2 linked regions of the Sus scrofa genome follow. The protein of the gene in region 1 purifies or fractionates together with the protein of each later gene. This does not show direct contact. Links are inferred from orthologs where the notes say so. Each region holds a gene or a part of one and is shown in the gene's direction. Other genes may lie near its edges.

The links. The genes of interacting proteins can lie anywhere in the genome.
Region 2: the proteins of HNF1A (region 1) and PCBD2 purify together in Homo sapiens (affinity purification with mass spectrometry; 4 studies listed by BioGRID and IntAct, with this or other methods). This does not show direct contact. The link is inferred for Sus scrofa from reciprocal best matches to the Homo sapiens genes HNF1A and PCBD2.

The regions. Positions count from the first base shown.
Region 1 is NC_010456.5:40,883,893-40,890,217, forward strand, and holds the end of HNF1A (hepatocyte nuclear factor 1-alpha), read left to right. Parts: intron 1-1,547; coding exon 1,548-1,669; intron 1,670-1,754; coding exon 1,755-1,899; intron 1,900-3,178; coding exon 3,179-3,306; 3' UTR 3,307-4,430; downstream 4,431-6,325. Other genes in the region: C14H12orf43 (uncharacterized protein C12orf43 homolog), read right to left, coding at 5,311-5,701, 6,170-6,260. UniProt on the Homo sapiens protein: Transcriptional activator that regulates the tissue specific expression of multiple genes, especially in pancreatic islet cells and in liver. Binds to the inverted palindrome 5'-GTTAATNATTAAC-3'.
Region 2 is NC_010444.4:137,079,307-137,086,805, forward strand, and holds the start of PCBD2 (pterin-4-alpha-carbinolamine dehydratase 2), read left to right. Parts: upstream 1-3,613; 5' UTR 3,614-3,669; coding exon 3,670-3,753; intron 3,754-7,499.

The DNA.
Region 1 (6,325 bases):
GTAACAAAACAGTAAAAGTTTTAGGACAATGTACATTATCAACGAATGTTCAGTGAGTTGAATTTAAAGTACCACTCCTTCAATTTAGTAAGATGAAGACACTACACCATGAAAAAATATAGGTAATAAAGGGCTAAATAAAGGTAAATTTAAAAAAACCAAGGTCCGGAGTTCCCGTCGTGGCGCAGTGGTTAACGAATCTGACTAGGAACCATGAGGTTGCGGGTTCGGTCCCTGCCCTTGCTCAGTGGGTTAACGATCCGGCGTTGCCGTGAGCTGTGGTGTAGGTTGCAGACGCGGCTCGGATCCCGCGTTGCTGTGGCTCTGGCGTAGGCCGGTGGCTACAGCTCCGATTCGACCCCTCGCCTGGGAACCTCCATATGCCGTGGGAGCGGCCCAAGAAATAGCAACAACAACAACAAAAGACAAAAAAAAATAAAAATAAAAATAAAAAAAATAAAAAAACCAAGGTCAGAGCTAGGTGGGGCCCTAGGATAACTTAGGAAAGTGGTTTAAACTAGAAGCCTCATGCATGCTTGGTTTCACTCCAGCGGGAAGTACATTTGCTCTACTAGAGACCAAACTTGGGCTAAAGAGTGGAAATTTAGACAAGGAATTTATGATAGAAAAAAAAAATAAAGACATGCTATAGCACAAAAAACCAGACAACACAAAGGAAGCACCTCTTTTACCACCACTGATCTGTGAATCTCTATTTGCAATTAACCTTAACTGTATATAGGTTTACATTACATCCTTTTTAAAAAAATTACTCAGTGAATTTTATTACATTTATAGTTGTACAACGATCATCACAACCAAATTTTATAGCATTTCCTTCCCAAACCCTCAGTGCCTCCTCCCCCATCCCCCTCAAGCTGTCTCATTTGGAAACCATTGAGGTTTTTTTTTGGGGGGGGGGCTAAGCCGATGGGATGCAGAAGTTCCTGGGCCAGGGATCAAACCTGCGCCACTGTGGGAACCAGAGCCAGAGCAGTGACAACACGGGATCATTAACCTGCTAAGCCAAAAGAGAACTCCTGGGTGGGTAGATTTTTATCCATGCGATTTGTGTTATTTTTCTGCTGGCATCTGTGTTTTTGTGGGGCTGGGGACTGACTACAGGTGAAAGGTTGGGTTACACTGTGGAGAGGGTCCTGGAGTAGAGATATGCTGTCCCCCCCACCCCCCAACAGGGGGCGCCAGCCTTTCCCTCCAAGGTCGGTGCTTAGGACAACAGCACCTGTGCCTCTTGTTCCCTTTCACACCTGGTAATTCCACGTGAAGGAGCTGGGTTTGGGTTCCTGGACTCCCCCAGACTCCTCTCCACCAGACTAGGCAAAGCAGGCCCCTGTAGTTGGGGAGCGCATCCAACTCTTCTATCTGGAGCTCCCAGACCTGGAAATGAACCCTGAGTCCCCAACTACTGTCCCACAGGGCTGCTCACCAGGCCCACACCCTACTTTCCCTGAGCCCCCACTTTGAGGCCCTCCTGGGAGGGGTGCCCAGGTGCCATGTATATACCCTCCCCTCCCCCTCCCGGCCAGCCCTCTACAGCCACAAGCCCGAGGTGGCCCAGTACACCCACACGGGCCTGCTTCCGCAGACCATGCTCATCACCGACACCACCAACCTGAGCGCCCTGGCCAGCCTCACGCCCACCAAGCAGGTAAGGCCCAGGCTTGCCCCAGCCCCTCCCCGGGCCCTGCCCCAGGGCACAACCAGGAGGGCTCAGGAGGCTGCCTTTCCACCAGGTCTTCACCTCGGATACTGAGGCCTCCAGCGAGTCTGGGCTTCACACGCCGGCATCTCAGGCCACCACCATCCACATCCCCAGCCAGGACCCTGCTGGCATCCAGCACCTGCAGCCCGCCCATAGGCTCAGTGCCAGCCCCACTGGTGAGCAACCTTTCCTTGGCCCCCTTCCCTGATGTCCCCAAAGCTGGGGAGCAAGGTATGCCCAGCAGAGGGGGGTAAATGAGAAGGGGCACCTGTGCTCCCCCAAAGTGAGCCAAGTGGGGTGTGAAACCACAGGAAATGGGTCTCACAGTAACTTCTATTAGGCTCAGCTGATGAAAAAGATAACCAGAAGAGGTAATAGCGGGTAATCATGAGGCCAGAACGGGCTTGCTGGGGGCCAGAAGTGACACAAATGGTTTAGGGTTTAGCATTTTTTAAATTCATTGCGAACATTTAAAAAACAAGAGCTGTCACAGATTTCTGGCTTCTCTTGCAAATTGAGAAGGACTCCTGTTCCCCTGTGGCAACCACAGGGTGTGGGCTCTCCAGCCCAACCCGAGTCTGCAGCCCACGATGTCACAGTGAAGAGCAGGCACTTTGGGGCCTGGGGCAGCCACTTGCTAAGTGTGAGCCTCAGGGTCCTCCATCCAGCCCTGATGGCAGCAGGGACAGTCACCAAGGGCTCCATGCTTTACCTGTCAGGTGTCATTGCCTCCGTTTTACAGATGACAAAGCACTCAAGGAGGGGCTTGGCCTTGCTTCTGACAGCTACTAGGTGGTGGGGCCAGGACCTGAACCCAGGTCCAAACTCAAAGCCCATTTATTCTCTTAACCATCTGAATTAATCCCGGTTCTCCTAAGATGCAGAACCAACAGGAACATACACACATACACACACACACAAACATATACATATGTTTAAGGAATTGGCTCACAGGACCGGGGGGCAGCTGGCAAGTGTGAAAGCCACAGAGCAGGAGGCAATGCTGTGGTCTTGAGGCAGGATCCCTTCTCTGGGAAACCTCAGCTATTGTTCCTAAGGCCTTCAACTGACCAGATGAGGCCCACCCACATTATTGAGGGAAATCTTCTTTACTTAACGGCAACGGATTTGGGTGTTAACCACACCTATGAAATGCCCTCACAGCAACACTTGGATTGGTGTTGGGCTCAAGAACTGGGTACTAAAAGGAAGCCAAACTGACACACAGAAGTTCCCACTAAAATGTGCTGAGGCCACTCCCTGGGGCGCCCTGGAGCCTGGCCAGAGGTTGACAAGACCCAGGGGTAGGGGTTTGATTTTAGGGTTCCGGTTACCTGCTAAGATTCAGGAGGTAGTCAGTCCCCACTTTCCCATCCCAGGTCCCCTCAGGGATGGTGAGTGGGGAGGGGACATAATGGTCAAGGCGGGCAGCCGGCAGCTTCACTGTCCCTGCAGTGTCCTCCAGCAGCCTGGTGCTGTACCAGAGCTCCGACTCCACCAACGGTCACAGCCACCTGCTGCCATCCAACCACAGTGTCATCGAGACCTTCATCTCCACGCAGATGGCCTCATCCTCCCAGTAACCATGGCAACTGCTTCCAAGGGGCTGGGCCCTGAAGCCTACACAGCCTTTTTGAGGAGTGACGACGAGAACATCTGAGGCTACAAACTTTCACTGCCTCTGGGCTGCTGCTCTTCCCGGGAAAACTGTGCCTCAGTCCCTACCCGGTTGTTGGCTTCAGAAAGGGAGGGTTTCTGAGGTGCCCCAACCCGAAGAGGGCTGCTTCAGTGTCCAAGAGGGGATTATGGAGAGCTGGGAAGCAGAGCCTGCTCCTGGCAGGACTCTGGAGGGACTGTCCCTGATGCTGAGGGTAAACGTTGTCACTTGGAAGAGAAAGGGGCAGCCTGTGGACTTGGGGACCCCCAGCCTGGGCCTGTGGAGAGCACTGGCACCCTACTTCTCAGGATACAGGCCTGTGTGCCTAGGAGAGAGGCCACAGATCAACATGGCCCCATTCTGTCACCTATGCCCTGACTGGGCCACTCCACCCAGCCCCCCTTCCTGTTATTAACCTGCACGTGCATTTCAACCTACCTGTCCCCCCATTCAGATCAGCATTGCCTGGGTGACTACTCTGCACCAGGGCCTGGGGCGGGCAGGCCTCTCCAGCTTCCCGTGTCCTGAGCAAACTTCCTGATGCCAGCCTGGCATCTTGCCTCTACTGGAAAGCTCCCCTGAGGGCTAGACGTTGTCCTTGCTCCTGTGGGAGGCTCGTGATTCTGCACTTGGTGCCAGGTTGAGTCGTGGGGCAGCAGGCCCTTTCCTGGTTTGGGGGAGAAGATGCTGAGCTCAGAAGGCAGTAAGGCCAAAGCAGCTGGCAAAGCTGAGCCCAGAGGGGAGAAGAGAGGTGAGGCTGGTGGAGAGGCTGCCATCTGGAAGCTTGGGGCCTGGCTGGTGAGGGGAGGGGGAGAGGCCCAGATGGTTCACAGCCCACTGAAGACCTGCCTGAGGCCCTGAGGGACAAGGCAGCCATGTCGATCCAGGGCTCACTTGACCCTTCCCCAGGGCTGCTGCAGATCACAGGGCCCTCATGGACCTCCTCCACCTTGAGGAGGGGGCTGGGGAAGACTAGCGCCCCTGCAGCTTGCAGCCAGCTAAAGGCAAGCCTGCACATTTATTTAACTTTTAATAAAGCAAGTGAGGAACAGGTTGGAAACTTCTTGCTTGTCCACACATCACCCAGCTGGGGTTGGGCCTGGGGACCAAGGAGGGGTGGGGCTGGCACGTGCGCATGTGCGTGCACACACACAGACACACATACACATCCCCCACCTGTTTTCCTTGCTCTGCTGAATCTCTGAGGCCAGGCAAGGAAGCCAGAATCTTAGCTTCATCTTGAACTTCCAGTACTTCTTGCAGAACACCCCTGTAGATGAATCCTGATCCCTGGGTGCCGTGGCACATCCTGAAAGTCTTGAAGCTGTTGCAGGAACCCTACTTGGGGTGTAGGCAGGACAACCCTGCCTGGGTGGTGCTTACTTCAAATGACTCATCAAGATTCAGCACTGATGGAGGGCAGCACCCAAATCACTCTGTTATGTTTTGGGTCCCTCGACAATTTATTTTTGATACTCTGGTTGGCTCAGAGACACAACTGTACATGGTGTATTCACAAATGTGGAGGAAGAAAATTCTGGAAAACTGGGGGGTGGGGGAGGAGGGAATCTCTCCTTTCTCAAGACTGGGTGACTGGAGGGAGAAGCACCAAACTCCTCCTGGGCCTTGGCACTTCGGGGACCCCCTCCCTCGTTTTCTTCAGATTGTCTCCCACAACAGGCTGAGGAGGTGGAAGCTCTGCCACCTGGCCATCAGCCTTGAAAAACTGGGGTCCTCCTCCTTCTTCCTGAGGCCACAGAACACTCTGGTACCCAGTGGGAGCAGAGAAGGGCAGGCCTTGCTCATGTTTCTCACCTTACAACCTCTTCTCGGCCCCGACCCTTGGGCAAGCCCATCATGGACAGAGTTGAGTTCTTGCACTTGGAAAGGGAGGTGGGGCTTGGGAAAGACTTGTCCCCAGGGGGCGCCGCTAGTTGGGCCCCGTGCCCACAGGCAGGACTCGGTGTACAGGCGTGGCTGCTGCACTCTTTGCTGGCGGGGATGGGGCAGCCTCGCCGGCCCTCTTTGCCTTTTTCTTCCTTTTCTTCTTTTTGGTCCCAAGTGGTACCTGGGCTCCATTGAGCTCAGCGGACTCCTTGCTCTGCTTCCCAACTGCGGCCTTGCCTGTGGTGGTGACTGTGGCAGCAGCAGCCACACTGGCACTGGCCTCCTTCTTGGCTTTCTTTTTCAACTTCCTTTTCTTCTTCTTTGCCTTCTCCTCCACGCTGACAGGGCCGTGGATGGCGGACTCCTGGAGGATGTCGGAGGCTGACACAGCCGCCTCCCGGCACCGCTGCAACTCCTCGTCACCATCCTCGCTGCTGCAAGGGGAGGACAGTCACCACAGGGCCCCAGAGCTGCCTCTCAGTGCCTCAGTCCGAAAGCAGCCAGAGATAGAGGGTGGCAGTTAGAGAGCGCAGGCTTGGCAGTGAGGCAGACCTGGCTCCAGTGCCAGCTGTGTGACCTCATTATGTGACTTCACTTCTCTGACCCTACGCATCTTCATCTATGCAGTGGGGGTTTTACCAGAGCCCAGGCCTCACAGGGATGTCCCAGGAGTGAGACGTCTGGCACAAGATGGTGCTCACAAGCAGTAAACATCCAAAGCCAACTCCCGATGGAAATCCGCGCCCTTCGCCCTCCCTCTATTTCTCCAGCTACTTGACAGGGCTCCTTCTGGGCCCAGACCTGACTGGAGCTGGTCTGTTTATGGGGGGGATACAGGGAGGCGACTGGCCAAGAGAGAAGGCCCCAAAAAGAGGGAGCTTGAGGAGAGGGCGCCATCTCACCTGGAGCTGGAAGGCAACCGTTTCCGGCGGGGTTGGGGAGCAGCTTCCTTCTCAGAGGCTCCAGGGATGGAGGTGAAGAAAAGGCGGAAGCCTGCAACCCAAAGAGTTGGGGTCAGCATCGCCAGGGCCCCCCTACCCCCAGGCACCAAGGCTGCC
Region 2 (7,499 bases), on another chromosome or scaffold:
ACGTTGTTTCTAGGTAAGGCGGGTGTTAACCAGCATGTACTGATTGAGTCTCAGAAGGTTCTCGGGATTGTGCTAGGTTTAGTGAGAGCCAAAAGAACGATCCAATGCTGTTCTTGCCCACAAGCTGGTTCTAGTCTAGTTTAGGACACATGCGTAGAAGAGACACAGCGTGTAGTTCACAGAACCTTTTGAAAAGCTGTTTCTAAAAGATCCCTTAAATCCAGATATGACAGCTGACTATGTAATGATAAACTCCTTTCACACGGATCATTTCCAGAGCTTTAGATGGAATAGGTCATTTCATAAGGCATCCCGAATTCCATGGACATAGAACCTTAGATGAGTCTCCTTCTGAGAGTGTAACATTTGGTGGTTTACACCTTTACACATCCCCGGTGGACAGCTTTGGCTGGGGTGGTCTCGGGCAGGAGGGGGCCCTGGCCCAGGGTCGTATCGGTATTATTCCCATTTTACAAGTGAGCACACAGGCAGATAGAGGGTGAATAACTGACACAGGTTACACACAGTATGTTGATGAAGCTGCGATTTACAACCTCACATGTATTTTTTCATTTGTACTTATAAGAAAAAAAAAAAAAAACCTCTCCGAATTCCATCTCTTATTATAATAACTAACAGTTGAGTGTTACCGTGTATATTATATGCCAGGTACTGTCTAAGTGCTTGGCATAGGACGTTTAATTTTTGTCTGTACAATAGCCCTGTGAGGTCGACACTACTGTAACACACCCTCATTTTATAGAAGAGTAAATAACTCTTCAGTAAACCCTAAATAACCTGACCTTGGTCGTACAGTGGTGGAGCCCAGCTTCAAACGCGAGCATCCCGACGCCAGAGCCTGTGTGTGGGTTGATGTTCTTCCTGCCTGTGTGCCGGGGCCCAGGCACCCATCGTGCATCTTCCTCCAGGCTCTGGCTAAGGTGTGCTTCCCATACTTGTAGTCATGAAAGAGTATTTTTTTCCTTTTGCTTAACAGATGCTAAGTATTTCACTGTTGATAATAATCTTTCTAACCATGACTACCTAATAGGCCTTTGAACAGATTTAGCCTTGCTTACCGAACCTGTTGTCTTTTGCTGAACGTGTATTTGTATATAAAGTCTCATTTCCTTGGGGGCAGATTCCCAGAGGAGGGTGTTAACTCCTATCAGAAATACAGGAGTTTCCATATTGTTTGGTATGTCATGGGGCTCTATTCTAGTCTGGAGGATGAGGAAAGGCTCCCAGGATGACCCACAGATCCACGGCTTTGCTTCTGCATGGGGTTCCCCTGGAGGGCAGTGTGGAGCAGGGCTGATCCCAGGAGCAGTGGTTCAGGTGTAGAGGGTCAGCGGGGAGGCACTGGTATTGAGGGAAAGGGAGACAGAAGGGGGACGGGAGTGGTCCAGGACCAGCTAACGCATCCTAAAGCCAAACAGGGTGCACCAGGAACCCGTGCCAAGAGGGGACTGCAAGGGCCCAGAGGAGAGCAAAGCTCATCACGAAGCCGGCAACCAGGAGAGAAGTCCAGATCCTTTTGTCCACCTCTTGGTGTCTGAGTTGCCAAGGAAAACAGCATGGTCAGGCTCCAGTTGGAACAGCGTTTTCATCCACACGGAGAAGAGACACCAAGATCAGCCCCCGTGTGCACGGATCCCTTAATGGCTCGGGGGGGGCCCCCATCCCTTTCCTGCTGCCTAAGAGCACCCCTCTAGTGCCATAGCAGGACCCCTCCCCTTCTCTCACTGAGTCTGAAACACTGAATTGCAGGCGGGGGGCAGTTGCCCCAGAGTCACTGATGTCCATGCTTAAGCAGAAGAAAGAAGCACAGGTTGTGTGAAGCAGGGAAGGATTTTCTCACACAAGCCTGGCACAGGCTGTTTGGGCTCTTTTTGGGTAAGGAAGTGTTCCAGGCCCAAGGCTTATTCTTAGGTGGCGAAGCAAGACCTGAAAGACTGAGCTGGAGACTGCCTTTCTGACAGGGTCCACTACAGAGGATGTGCCCAGTCAGTCTTTGCTAGGACTTAAATCTGAGGACAGAGCATTCACAGCCCCTCTCGGTGGGTGTCACTCCGCCAGGGCCCTGAGTAGCATCCTGCTGCTGCTCTCAGGACAGATCTTAGATGCCACAGTTTCATACAGGGGTGTCAGGGAAGGAAACTGATGAGGGGGGTCTCTTGTTACTTCACAATTACCAGGTCATTTTTCAGTTTTCACTGTAATAAGCAAGTTTGTAAGGCATTTTTCATGCTCCTAAACTCCCAGTGTGAGGCATCAGGCAAAGGAAACCCAAATGTCTCAGACCCTCGAGACCAGTGACATTTGATTACGGTCTGTAGAAAGATTCCTCTGTTGTGTTTTCATCAAGTGGCCAAAAAGGGAAGAAGAGGGATTAGGTCATAAGTCCGTATTTCAGATTATTTTAGGTTAAAAAAAAAACTAGTTAAAAAGAAGTTACAAGTGAGTATACTGAAAACCACTGAATTGTACATTTTATTTATTTTTTAGGGCCGCACCTGTGGCACATGCGAGTTCCCAGGCTAGGGGTCCAGTAGGAGCTGTAACTCCCAGCCTACACCACAGCCACAGTACTGTGGGATCTGAGACCCATGTGTCACCTACACCACAGCTCACAGCAATCCCAGATCCTTCACCCGCTGGCCAGGAGAGGTCAGGGATCAAACCCGAGTCCTCATCCTCATGGATACCAGTTGGGTTAGTTACACCTGAGGCAGGAGAAGAACTCCCGAATTGTACATTTTAGAGGGTGAACCTTACGGCAAGTGATTTACATCGCAAGGAAAAAGGCAAAAAAAAAAAAAAAAAAAAAAAAAAGGAATGATAAGAGAATTAAGATACTAATACACATGTAAAAGAATACCTAGTTTGTAAAAAGAAAAAAGATATAAAAAAGTCTATCCACGTGTATCTCCGGCGTCTCTACCGTGCACTGTGCGCCTGCAGCCCTTTACAGAGCACCTTGAGCCTGACTTTCCCAAGTATTTCATCCGGACAGACAGATGGGCCAGTGTGCCCAGGATCTTGGCAACGAAATAGTGACAGAGCAGAGCTTACATTCGAACCTGCAGCTCCCTGACTTATAAGGGCCCGACCTGGATCACTAGGGTTCACTGCTCCCCAACTGCGAACAGAGTGGAGCGGTCCCCCAGAACCCCTTACCCCGCCCACCCCACAGCTCCTCTGCCCCTGCCTGCGCCATCCTCCTGCCCGCGCCATCTGTTCGCTCCATCGCCCAGAAGGAGCCCAGGGCAGTCAGGCCGTCAGCGAGGCTGCGACACCCCCAGCCCCAGACGCCGAAGACAGAGAACGTGCAGTGCACGCTCAGCGCCAGCCCGCCTGCCTCCCCGGCACAGGCAGGAAACGCGGCACCTGGGCACGACTCGAAAGGCCAGCGGAGCGGGGTCTGACAGCGCCCGGGGCTGCGGGGGCCTGCGGGGGCCTGCGGCCCCGCGCCCTCCCGGCTGCCGGCAGAGCTGCCGGCCATCGAAGCTTCCGGGGGCCTTCCGGGGCCGGACCGCGCCTGGGCCTGCGCGGCGGGGCCGGGCTGGGCGGGAGCTGCCCCCGCGGCTCCTGGCTCCGGGCCGGCCCGCGGAGCGGCGGCCGGGGCGGCGGGCAGGCAGCGCGCCGGGCAGCCCTGGGCCGGAGGCTATGGCGGCTGCGCTGGGGGTGCGCGGGGCGACGCGGGGCTGGTTCGCGGCGCTGCGGGGTCGACGCCAGAGCCTCGCAGCTATGGTGAGTGCGGAGAGCCCGCGGGGTCGCGGGAGGGCGAGGCGCCGCCGTGCCGGCCGAGGGGCGGAGGGACCCGAGCCGACCCCGAAGCGGGCCCGGCCTTCGGGCTCGGACTTTGGGGAGTCACATTCGGGTACCCGGCACGGTCGGAAGCGCTGGTCCGAGACATGGGTGGCCGCAGCATCTTAGTTTTCCTTTGGCTTAAAAATCCCGTCGTCGTCTACCAAATTGCCAACCGGAAAACAACCGAGGCCGACTTTCATTAGAAAAGAAAAAAGTAAACATGAAAAGCAGTTGCGAAAGTATTTCACCATTAGGGTTTCTTGATGAGACTCCAGTTGCCGTTCGGTCCTCTAGACTGTGCGCTCGGAGAGAGCGGGCGCCGTCTCGCTCTCGGCTCGCTCGCTGTAAACAGCGGGACTGAATGTGGAACGAATTCATTTCTCTTGGTGTTAATTTTTTTTAAAGGAATTACTATTGAATTACCTTTTTGGTGGCACATTGCCTCTTAATTCCTTTTCTGAGGGGCATCCTGTCAGTTTCCCTGCTTTGGAAATTAACAGATTGGGGGGTAAATTAACTGGAGGGAAAGTTTTAACTTGCAGCACCACCTAGTGGGAAAAAGTTGCGTGAAACTCACCTTTTCATTTTCTTTAATTGCTTGTGGGGGCCCATTTGGCAGTTTGAAATCCTTTAATAGAAGAAATTAAAAATAACTCGATGATGGGAAAGATGGGCACTCTGCTTCTTGGCCACTAAGGCGAGGACGCAGGTGGAGTGCTCACTGTCACCTAGGCGTGTCCCAAGGCATGCCTCTACCTAGGGTGCTTGGTGATCCAGTAAAACTGTGGGGTTTGGAGAGGAATGAATAAACGGACGGGATTGGAGTGGTTGCCACGTGCCGGGCTCTCTGTTGGGTGCCTTCACACTCAAGAGCTCTTTTAAGCCTTTCAGGAATTTTGGCAGGTGGCTGTGGTAATATCCCCACTGTAGAGCGCTGCTCATCAGAGAGGCGAAGTGATTTATTCAGCACCCACAGCTGGAAGTAACAAAGCTAGATTTCGAATCAAGATGACTCTCCAGGAGTTCCAGTTTGGCTCAAAGGAAACGAATCTGACTAGTATCCACGAGGAGGCAGGTGGGATCCCTCACCTCCTCAGTGGGTAAGGATCTGGCTTTGCTGTGAACTGTGGTGTAGGTCAAAGACGTGGCTCGGATCTGGCATTGCTGTGGCTGTGGTGTAGGCTGGCGGCTATAGCTCCCATTTGACCCCTAGCCTGGGAACCTCCATATGCCTTGGGTGCGGCCCTTAAAAAAAAAAAAAAAGAAAAGAAAAAGATTACTCTTCAGATCCTGTGCTTTCTCCATCCCTCCCAAAGGGGGAAAAAAAATTCAAGTCCACCGCAAAGGGTTCTACAGAGGGTATGTCCCCAAGAGAACCGTTTGTGTTACGTAGGTGACATGACTCCATTTCAGCCCCAGACCTGATCCCTGTGGCTGTGGTGAGCGCAGAGTGCATGTCACCGACCTCACTGGGCTGTGGGTGGTGGAGCGAGCAGAAAAAATCGGCTCAGGGTGGGCTCCGCAGACCCCAGGCGACTGCTGCGTTACCCACAGCATGGTTGAGAGTTTTCTTTTGCAGCTATTCAATAATAATTCCCTTTCTTTTCCAAAACGACTCTGCATTGACCTAAAATATTTAAATATTCAGTTACAATTTTAGATTATTTCCTAGAGGGGGTCTGCGTGTGAAAATTTTCAGAGCTATTGCTGTGAAACTAATGAATACTTTGGTTCTGAATAGTGTATTTTTTCCCTTTTTTTGGAGTTTCGTGGACGTTTAGTTGATTGGCAATGTTGGGATCATGCCTGGTGTACAGCGCAGTGATCCAGTCAGACCCACACTCGAGTCCATTCTCTCTCAGATTCTTTCCCCACGTCGATGATCGCAAACTATTGCGTAGAGGTCCCTGTGCTGAACAGCAGGTCCCTGTGAGTCCGTCATCCCATATACCTCAGTGTACATGGGCCAGTCCCAAACCCCCATCTGTCCCTCCCCTGCCCCACCTGCCCCCTTTGATAATCATACGTTTTTCGAAGTCTGTGAGTCTGTTTCTGTTCTGCAAATAAGTTCATTTATATACATTTTTTAGATGCCATATGTCAGTGACATATCATGTTTTCCTTTCACTGTAGCTGCACTTCATATGCTAATCTCTAGGTCCAGTCATGTTGATGCAGATGGTGTTATTTCATTCTTTTTTACGTGCGTAATATTTAAGTGTTTTAAAATTTTTTTCTTATTTTTTCCCTTTATTTATTTATTGGTTTGGTTTGGTTTGGTTTGGTCATGCCTGCGACATGCAGAAGTTCCCCAGGCCAGGGATCCAAACCACGCCACATCAGTGACCATGCCGAATCCTTAAGCACTAGGCCCATAGGGAACTCCTTTAAATGGTTTTTGATAACAAGGCTTTAAACATTTTTATTTAATTAAGACATATTTTCATTTTCTGTTTGGTTAGTTATAGGGAAGGATAGCTGACCTAGCGAGGAAGAAACTGGAAAGCTGGGTCATTCGTGTCCTTTTTTTCCTCTTAAAGAATAAGTTGTCTTAGAGTGAGTTGACTTACTTCGCCTTCTTAATTCCATTGATGTCAGTGGTGAAGGCTTTTAGGATTTCTGAAGTGGGGATGAGTTGCAGTTTCATAGTGGAGGATCCAGTCCCTGGTTGCCCTTTTTTTTTCTTTTTCTCTTTTCTTTTTAGGGCTACACCCGCCGCATGTGGAAGTTCCCGGGCTAGGGGTCGAATCGGAGCTACAGCTGCCAGTCTGCACCACCGCCACAGCAACGCTGGATCCGAGCCACGTCTGCAACCTACATCACAGCTCACGGCAGGGCCAGGTCCCCGACCCACTGAACGAGGCCAGGGATTGAACCCGCATCCTCAAGGATGCCAGTCAGGTTCATTTCCACTTCGCCACAGTGGGAACTCCCCGGTTGCCCTTTGCTAAGGAGTCCTCACATTAGTTCAGTCTCTCTGGATGCCAGTCCTGCCCTTATCTGAGCCTGTAGTAGCCCTGCAAATAGGTAGGGCAGGAATTACTGGTTGGTACTTGTGCCAGAATAAGAACATGGCTCTTCTGGCTTCTCCTAGAGTGTCCCTTTCTTCTGTCTGACATGCTCTTCAGAGTTCTTTCAGTTAAAAAACAAATAGCATAGGGGTTCCCGTCGTGGCGCAGTGGTTAACGAATCCGACTAGGAACCATGAAGTTTTGGGTTCAATCCCTGGCCTTGCTCAGTGGGTTAACGATCCGGCATTGCCATCAGCTGTGGTATAGGTCGCTGACGCGGCTTGGATCCCGAGTTGCTGTGGCTCTGGCATAGGCCGGTGGCTACAGCTCCGATTCGACCCCTAGCCTGGGAACCTCCATGTGCCTCGGGAAGTGGCCCTAGAAAAGGCAAAAAGACAAAAAAAAAAAAAAAAAAAAAAAAAGCAAATAGCATAGGAAGTCTGGGCCCGTTAACCAAGTAACTCCAGGTTTGGGAATGTCATTGCCAGGGTGAGTAGGAGCAGGGTGGACAGTTGTGCACAAGTGCTTTGGACCGGGCGGTGCTCTGGCCAGACTCTGGAGAGTGTTCGTTTTGCTGTGTTTCTGAGAAAACTCATTCCACTAAGGCAGGGGCTTTTTACCTGTAGTCCAGAGGCTCTGTGGATGCCCAGAAGTTATTATACAAAATCGCCTGTG